Callithrix jacchus: one gene and its partner. The protein of the gene in region 1 interacts with the protein of each later gene in a pairwise test. Links are inferred from orthologs where the notes say so. Each region holds a gene or a part of one and is shown on either strand. Other genes may lie near its edges. The genes, in order: DRG1 and ZC3H15.

The links.
Region 2: the proteins of DRG1 (region 1) and ZC3H15 interact in binary tests that used the Homo sapiens proteins (3 or more experiments, as listed by UniProt). The two-hybrid records come from large-scale screens. The link is inferred for Callithrix jacchus from reciprocal best matches to the Homo sapiens genes DRG1 and ZC3H15.

Annotation. Positions count from the first base shown.
Region 1 is NC_133502.1:201,887,824-201,892,275, reverse strand, and holds the start of DRG1 (developmentally-regulated GTP-binding protein 1), read right to left. Parts: upstream 2,849-4,452; 5' UTR 2,784-2,848; coding exon 2,742-2,783; intron 1,805-2,741; coding exon 1,681-1,804; intron 1-1,680. UniProt on the Homo sapiens protein: Catalyzes the conversion of GTP to GDP through hydrolysis of the gamma-phosphate bond in GTP. Appears to have an intrinsic GTPase activity that is stimulated by ZC3H15/DFRP1 binding likely by increasing the affinity for the potassium ions.
Region 2 is NC_133507.1:42,485,297-42,488,441, reverse strand, and holds the end of ZC3H15 (zinc finger CCCH domain-containing protein 15), read left to right. Parts: coding exon 1-11; intron 12-1,718; coding exon 1,719-1,909; 3' UTR 1,910-2,535; downstream 2,536-3,145. UniProt on the Homo sapiens protein: Protects DRG1 from proteolytic degradation. Stimulates DRG1 GTPase activity likely by increasing the affinity for the potassium ions.

The DNA of each region.
Region 1 (4,452 bases):
GACGGTACAGATTTACATATTTCTGTAAGCCAATGTAAATCTACTTTGGTTTTCTCAAGATGAGATCTCGCTTTATCACCCAGGCTGAAGTGCAGTGGCCCCATCACAACTCACTGCAGCCTCTACCTCCTAGGTTCAAGCAATCCTCCCAACTCAGACTCCCAAGTAGCTGAGACCACAGGCATGCACCACCACATTAGGCTAATTTTTTTTTTTTGAGACGGGGTTTCACTCTTGTTACCCAGGCTGGAGTACAACGGCGCAATCTCAGCTCACCACAACCTCCGCCTCCTGGGTTCAGGCAATTCTCCTGCCTCAGCCTCCTGAGTCGCTGGGATTACAGGCACGCGCCACCATGCCCAGCTAATTTTTTGTATTTTTAGTAGAGACGGGGTTTCACCATGTTGACCAGGATGTTCTCAATCTGTTGACCTCGAGATCCACCCGCCTTGGCCTCCCAAAGTGCTGGGATCACAGGCTTGAGCCACCGCGCCCGGCCCAATTTTTTTTTTTTTTTTGCACATCTTTCATACCCAGGGGGACCCTTCATTCATAAGCCTGTAGAGACAGGGTCTTGCTGGTTTCAAACTCCTGGCCTCAAGCAATCCTCCCACCTCAGCCTCCCAAAATGCTGAGATTACAAGGATGAACCACTGCACCCAGCACATGTAAATCTATTTTGTATCAGTGCAGAATATAAATAAAACTACAGTACACTTAAACAATATCCATTTGCCTCTGAAACCAGCAGAATAAAAATAAACATAGTTCAGCTGGACGTGGTGGCTCTGGCCTGTAATCGCAGCACTTTGAGAGGCTGAGGAAGCAGATCACCTGAGGTCGGGAGTTCAAGACCAGCCTTACCAATATGAAGAAACTCCATCTCTATTAAAAAATACAAAATTAGCCAGGCATGGTGGCACATGCCTGTAATCCCAGCTACTCGGGAGGCTGAGGCAGGAGAATCGCTTGAACATGGGAGGTGGAGGTTGTGGTGAGCAGAGACTGCGCCATTGCACTCCAGCCTGGGCAGTAAGAACAAAACTCCATCTCAAATAAGTAAACAAACAAACAAACATAGTTCAAGAATTCATACTTAGAAAATATAAATCTCATTCAGTACAACATCTTTAGTTATTTTTCTCGTTTAAAAAAACTTTTTTTGGCCAGACATGGTGGTTCACACCTGTAATCCCAGAACTCTGGGAGGCTAAGGCAAGTGGATCACCTGAGGTCAGGAGTTTGAGACCAGCCTGACCAACAACGAAATACCCCATCTCTACTAAAAATATAAAAAAATTAGCTGGGTGTGGTAGTGCATGCCTGTAATCCCAGCTACTCAAGAGGCCGAGGCAGAATCATTTGAACCCAGGAGGTGGAGGTTGCGGTGAGCCGAGATCACACCATTGCACACCAGCCTGGACAACAAGAGCAAAACTCTGGTACACACACACACAAAAAAAACAAACTTTTTTTTTTTGAGATGGGGGTCTTTCTATATTGATCAGGCTGGTCTTGAATTCCTGACCTCAAGTGATCCATCTCAGTCTCCCAAAGTGCCAGGATTGCAGAAGTTGAGCCACTGCACTGGGCCATCTTTAGTTATTTTTAAACCACATGTATGTACTATTTTGACAGAAATTATGCCTAAAAATATATATATAGAAGAAAAACACAAACCTTCTCCTGGACCTCCACCACCACCACCCTTTGGAGTAATGAGTTCTCGACGAAGCTTAGCAAGACGAGCCTTAAGCAGCCCTAGGTGGTGTGCTGTGGCCTTGTTCTTTTGAGTCCGAGCCATCTATAAGGGAAGAATCACAGCCATAAATCAGAAGCAGTTCCTAACAGGGTAAAAATATCCGGAATGAATGCTTCCCCCAGCTCTGAGAGAATATTTTTTTTTACCCAAGTCCTACTAATGTCAGCATAACCATTTTAGAGGCTTCAAAAGAGTAAAAGTCCATTCCCTCCCCAATCCAGTTCATTTCCCTCAATACAGAGCAAAGTGAGGGGCAAAGAGAAGAGACAAGATTCAGGTCATTCCAGTTAGTGCCCCCAGACTAGACTAAAACCCATCTGTGGGTTCCTTTTCTACTGTTTGTAGCCGTTAGGCCCCATCTGACTACACAGGGACACCACTTTCCTAATTGTAAAGCACTCTGAGGGCCGCAGGCAACGGAATCACACACTATCCAGGTGGAATAAACTGCTCCCAGACAGATGTCATTTTACTTCCATTTCCGATTACCGGAACAAATACTCTCATCAGGGGTCATTGGGGTAGCGACTGGGAAAAGGGGAAATAAGGAGGACCTAGCGAGGGATGATGAGGAAAGATCCTTAAGTATCTTACCAAGCCAGAGATGGAATAAGGGACAGTATTCAGTGTTGCTCAGAGGAAAAAAGAAGAACGGAAAGAAACAATTTCAGAACAGGAACTGAACACTGGGAGGGGGTACCGACCCAGGGCCTAAGATGCGGGGGTGCGGAACGCGGGCCCCGGCAAAGGGGAGTTCAGGAGCGTGGCCGCGGGACAAGGGGAAAGGAGGAGGAGACTCTCCTCCCGGCTGAGGAGAGTCTGAGACTCCGAGTCGTGGCTGACAGCAGTCGGAACACCGGCCTCGCTAAGAGAAGTCGCGGAATCTAGGCCGGGTCCTGACGCGGTTCAACCGAGAACAAGAGCGACGCCACCGAGAAGGGATGCTCCGACTGAGTGAAGCGCCAGCTGCGTCCATTACCTCAGCTTCTATCTCCGCGATCTTAGCTAAGGTGCTGCTCATCCTGGCGAGTACCCTGTGGCCTCCACACTGACTGTCTCTCTTCACACACCCGCGGGCAAACTGCCACCGGCACTAGGCGCTACTGCAGTGCGCAGGCGCGGTACTTCGAATTCTCGCGAGAGAGTCACGTAAGGGTCAGCGCGATACGTATAGCGTGGGGCCACCTCCTCCCCGTCAGCTGACCCCGCCCCGTCCCACGAGCCAGTGCGGTGTCATAGAGCCCGCGGGAGCCGGGGGCCAGAGAGGCTGCCCCGGTCTGGGCGTCTCCGAGCGCGCGGAGGGTCGCGCGCAGCTCGGCCCCGCCCGGCGTGATCCGCTCCTCTCGCCCTGCGTGGTACTGAACGCCTCGGGCTGGAGACCCCAAGCCGACTCATGTGCTCTGCACCCGTGTTCCTCGCCAGCATCTGCGGGTCCTGGGTTCCCCTTTTCACAGCCGGGTTGACATCCCGACGGCCTCTTTGGTCTTGCGAGGGCATAGAGACCCATCTTGAGCCTGTCTCACCCCCTTGGAAAAAGAAAATTCCCCCATCCTATCATTCAAAACTATTTTTATGTCTGTTTTGTTTACTCCAATCCCCAAGTAGAGCACATGGGGAGCCCACAGTAAGTGCATACGTAAATGGATAATTCCCAGAGAACTCTGCTCGCAACATAGCTTGTAATGCCAAAAAATTGGAAACTATATTAACACCCATAAGTAGGAAAATAGATAAATGAATAATATCTCTATCCTGTTTTTGAAATATTACATCCATTAAAACGTAGACCTGTGTTTTTACTTGATCTCCAGGACATGTTAAATGGGAAAAGACACAACTAGCGGAACGGCATCTATGTAGTGATAACCATTTATGTTATTCTAAAAATTAGATGTACATTTATATAGGCGTGCATGTATGAACGTGCATTGCTTAAAGGCCTAGACAGAAAAATACATCAGAATTTTTTTTTTTTTGAGACGGAGTTTCGCTTTTGTTACCCAGGCTGGAGTGTAATGGCACGATCTCGGCTCACAGCAACCTCCGCCTCCTGGGTTCAAGCAATTCTCCTGCCTCAGCCTCCCGAGTAGCTGGGATTACAGGTATGCGCCACCGTGCCCAGCTAATTTTTTGTATTTTTAGTAGAGACGGGGTTTCACCATGTTGACCAGGATGGTCTCGATTTCTTGACCTCGTGATCCACCCGCCTCGGCCTCCCAAAGTGCTGGGATTACAGGTTTGAGCCACCGCGCCCGGCCTCAGAAACTCTTAACACTGGGACGGGATGCAAGGAAAGAAGCCTTTCACATTTTATTCCACAGAATTTTGTAGTTAAATTTTTACAAGATGAATGTATCCATGTATTACATGTGTAATAATAAAATTTAAAAAGACTCCTCTTCCCCAAGTGTCACATGGAGAGGAAGCCAGGACGTCCAGGAACTGTGTGGTGGTTTTAAAAGCGGTTTGCCTCAAGATCAATGGGTTGTTTTGATAGATTGATTATTCCAGGGGGAGTCCACCCGCCAGGCTTAATCCAAGGGGTTGGCCTGCACCCAGCCCTGGGAGGGAAGTTTAATTTAGTTAAATTTACAGGCCATCAAAGCAATGTGAGAGAAACCCTTTGAAAAAAAAAAAAAATTTAGTTAAATTTGTAAACAATAACTATTCTAACTTGCCAGAGACCAAAA
Region 2 (3,145 bases), on another chromosome or scaffold:
CGATAAAGATGGTAAGTATGCTAACTTTTGCCTAATTTTAACAACTAGGAAGCTGTTTAAATGGGGTTATACCAGGCTTGGCAAACTTAGATGTGTGCAGGTACCAGACTGGTAACATAAATGTGTGGTTTGACCATATGTAAAAGTAATAATAAAGAGTGAAGGCTGAAGACCTGAGCAGCTGTGTAGATATTAAAATCATTAACAGAAACTAGAAGGAGACAAAAATGAACTTGGAGCTATTGCCAGTGAGTTTACTTTGGGACCTCATGAGTTTGAGATTTTTTCATTATCCAAAGTGGCACTGTCTAGGATATTGTATAGACATGAATGCCCTGCACAAAGTATCAGTGTTTCAAGGTAGGTAAAAGAAGGAATGCTTAGGAAAGACACTGAGAAGGTCAGAGAAAATTTAAGAAACAAGTTTCCAAAGAAGTAAGTAGGGTGAAAACGAATATAAATAAGTTACTAATTGTAATTGGTTATAGGAATAGGATGCCAGTTTCATTGAGACTGCAATAACTGAGAAGAAAAATGAATACAGTCCTCTCAGTGTTTAGAGGAAAGACATGGTCATGGGAAGGGCTTTTTAGGATATGGAAAACCTAAGTGTATCTCTGTAGGTCAGAGGAAGAAGATCTGGTAAGTATGTATCTGTAGGTGAGAGAAAGTGCATCTGGTAAGGAGGAAAAGTTGAAGATAAAGGAAATTAGTTATGGAAGCAAGACGTAAAAAGTATAAATAATGAGTTAGGTGTGAGAATGGAGGGAAGGCTGACTAGGATTGTTGGTATAATTTATGTCTAATTGTGCCTTGAGTTAGGTGCTTGAAGAAAGGGGTGAAAGTTTGGCATCCTTGCTATGGAAGAAAAAGGCAGAAGAAATGCCAGTTAAGGCAAAAGCTGAGACAAAAGGCTGAACCTTATTTTTACATAAAAGCACACAAGCTATAACTTGAAAAACCAGCTTGCCCTCCCAGGATCTGAGAGTGTTATCAAAGCATTGTCTTGCTAGTATTTAGATTGACTTGTTTTTTATAGAAGTGGGTTTTGTTGACAATAGGCACAACTGCAAATACTTTAGAGATTATAAAATTCCCAAGACTTTGTCATCAGAGATGTTTGAAATAGCTGAAATCTAAATTAGGCTGTTTAAAAATGTCTGTGCAAATGTTAATGGCACGGAACAAAAAAGGCAGCATTTTTGTTTTCTCAGTCGTTTTAATCTATAAGGAAAAGTAGCTGTATACCACTAGGTTTTTTTTTTTTTGTTAACCATTTGATTACATGATGATTTTCTGCTGTCACAATCACAGCATTACAACATCATGATTTAAATACTATTTACAAAACCAAAAGCCAAGTAGCTGCTTATATTACAAACATTTTTTGGTTTCCATAACCACTTATTCAGAAATACTGTATGGAAATTGACTAATTAAAATCTAATTGCTCAGTCATGTAGGGAACACAGAGTTGTAGAAGAAACAATTAAGCAGTCAGATGTCTACAGTGAAAATCAGTATTTTGTAGTGAGTATAGATAATTGGTACAAATAAGCTCAGAAAAGAAGGATCGGTTCTTGCTGGAATAATTCTAGGGAAGGCTTTCATGGAGAAAAGGAAAAGAGGAAGTGTAATATCAGTCCGTGTTGTCTATTGCTAATGTAGGATGGTGTTTTCTCCTTCTACACCTTACTGATTCTAATTTTAACTTTTAGAAAACAAATTAAATGAAGCTTCTGGAGGTAGGGCTGAAAATGGTGAAAGAAGTGACTTGGAAGAGGACAACGAAAGAGAGGGACCGGAAAATGGAGCTATTGATGCTGTTCCTGTTGATGAAAATCTTTTCACTGGAGAGGATTTGGATGAACTAGAAGAAGAACTAAATACACTTGATTTAGAAGAATGACACCAAACAAGTCAATGCAAAAATCAAGTCAGCTCAGCATGAGTTGAAATTGACTTCATTAATTTTTTCCACCTAGAATCAACAGGATGTTTATTTCCCATGCTGATTCTGGAGGACTTACCCTCCTACAAAAAAGGAGTATTGTTCCTACGTCTTCTCTTCTGACTTTGGCTTCATCTCATAGTAAGTTCAGACTAGTTCATGATAAATTGAAAATATAATGGTCATTGCAGAAAATGATTGATTGTTGTAACTGTCCACCCAAGTAAGAAGTGTATCTGCTTTTCCATCTTTTGGTTTTCATTTGGGCATGTGCTATTACCAGAAACAAAAACTCACATTTAAAATACCCTTCATTTGACAGAGTTCTTAATGAGTGATTTAATTTCCTTTGTATTTGTATGTTTAGAAGACTGCCTAAAACGTCAGCACTGTATTTCATAAAGGAAACTGCATATGCAGATTCAGTATTGTATATCTTTGGACAATTAAATGGACATTTAAAATGGAACTTCTTTTATCTGACAGGGTCAGCTACAATGCCCTGTGTTAAATTGTTTAAAAGTTTTCCCCTTTTTTTTGCCAATAAAGTTGTAAATAAAGACTATCATACATTAAAATCCAAATATGGGCTTTCTTTTAAGTTTTTCTATGAAAAATTTAACATTCCTAGCTTGAATATTTTAACTAAATATCTGTTATAGTATCACATAAGGGATGTTTTCTTAATACTTATTACAGAACCATCTAGAGTACTAACAGTACTACTATGAATTTAATAACACAATACTAAGCTTCCAAAAGAGACTCTAGGTGATGTTAAAAAAAGGGTAACTTCTGAATTGATGAATCATCAAACAAATTAAATATCACCTACAGTTGAATCAAGTACTGGTTAAGAACGTTGTTGAGATCCATGGTGTTAAAATAGTACATACTAATATAAGTGTAAACAAATTCACCAAAAAACTATGGGCTGAGGGTTTTTGGCACTAAGATCCCCTGAAAAATTAGGGTGATAATACATTTAAAATAGACACAATTTGGTTGGGAGGAACTCAAGATGGCACTGTGAGAACAACCCAGGATTGAAGCTCTCGGTTAATCCGCAGAGAGGTGAGTCAAAGCTGCATTTTCAGACTGATCCTTGTTGCCCACAGAACGGGGAAATTCCCAAGTATAAAGGAGACGCGGGACACCAGGCAGAGGCTCTGCCTGGAGAAGCCGGCAGCCGGG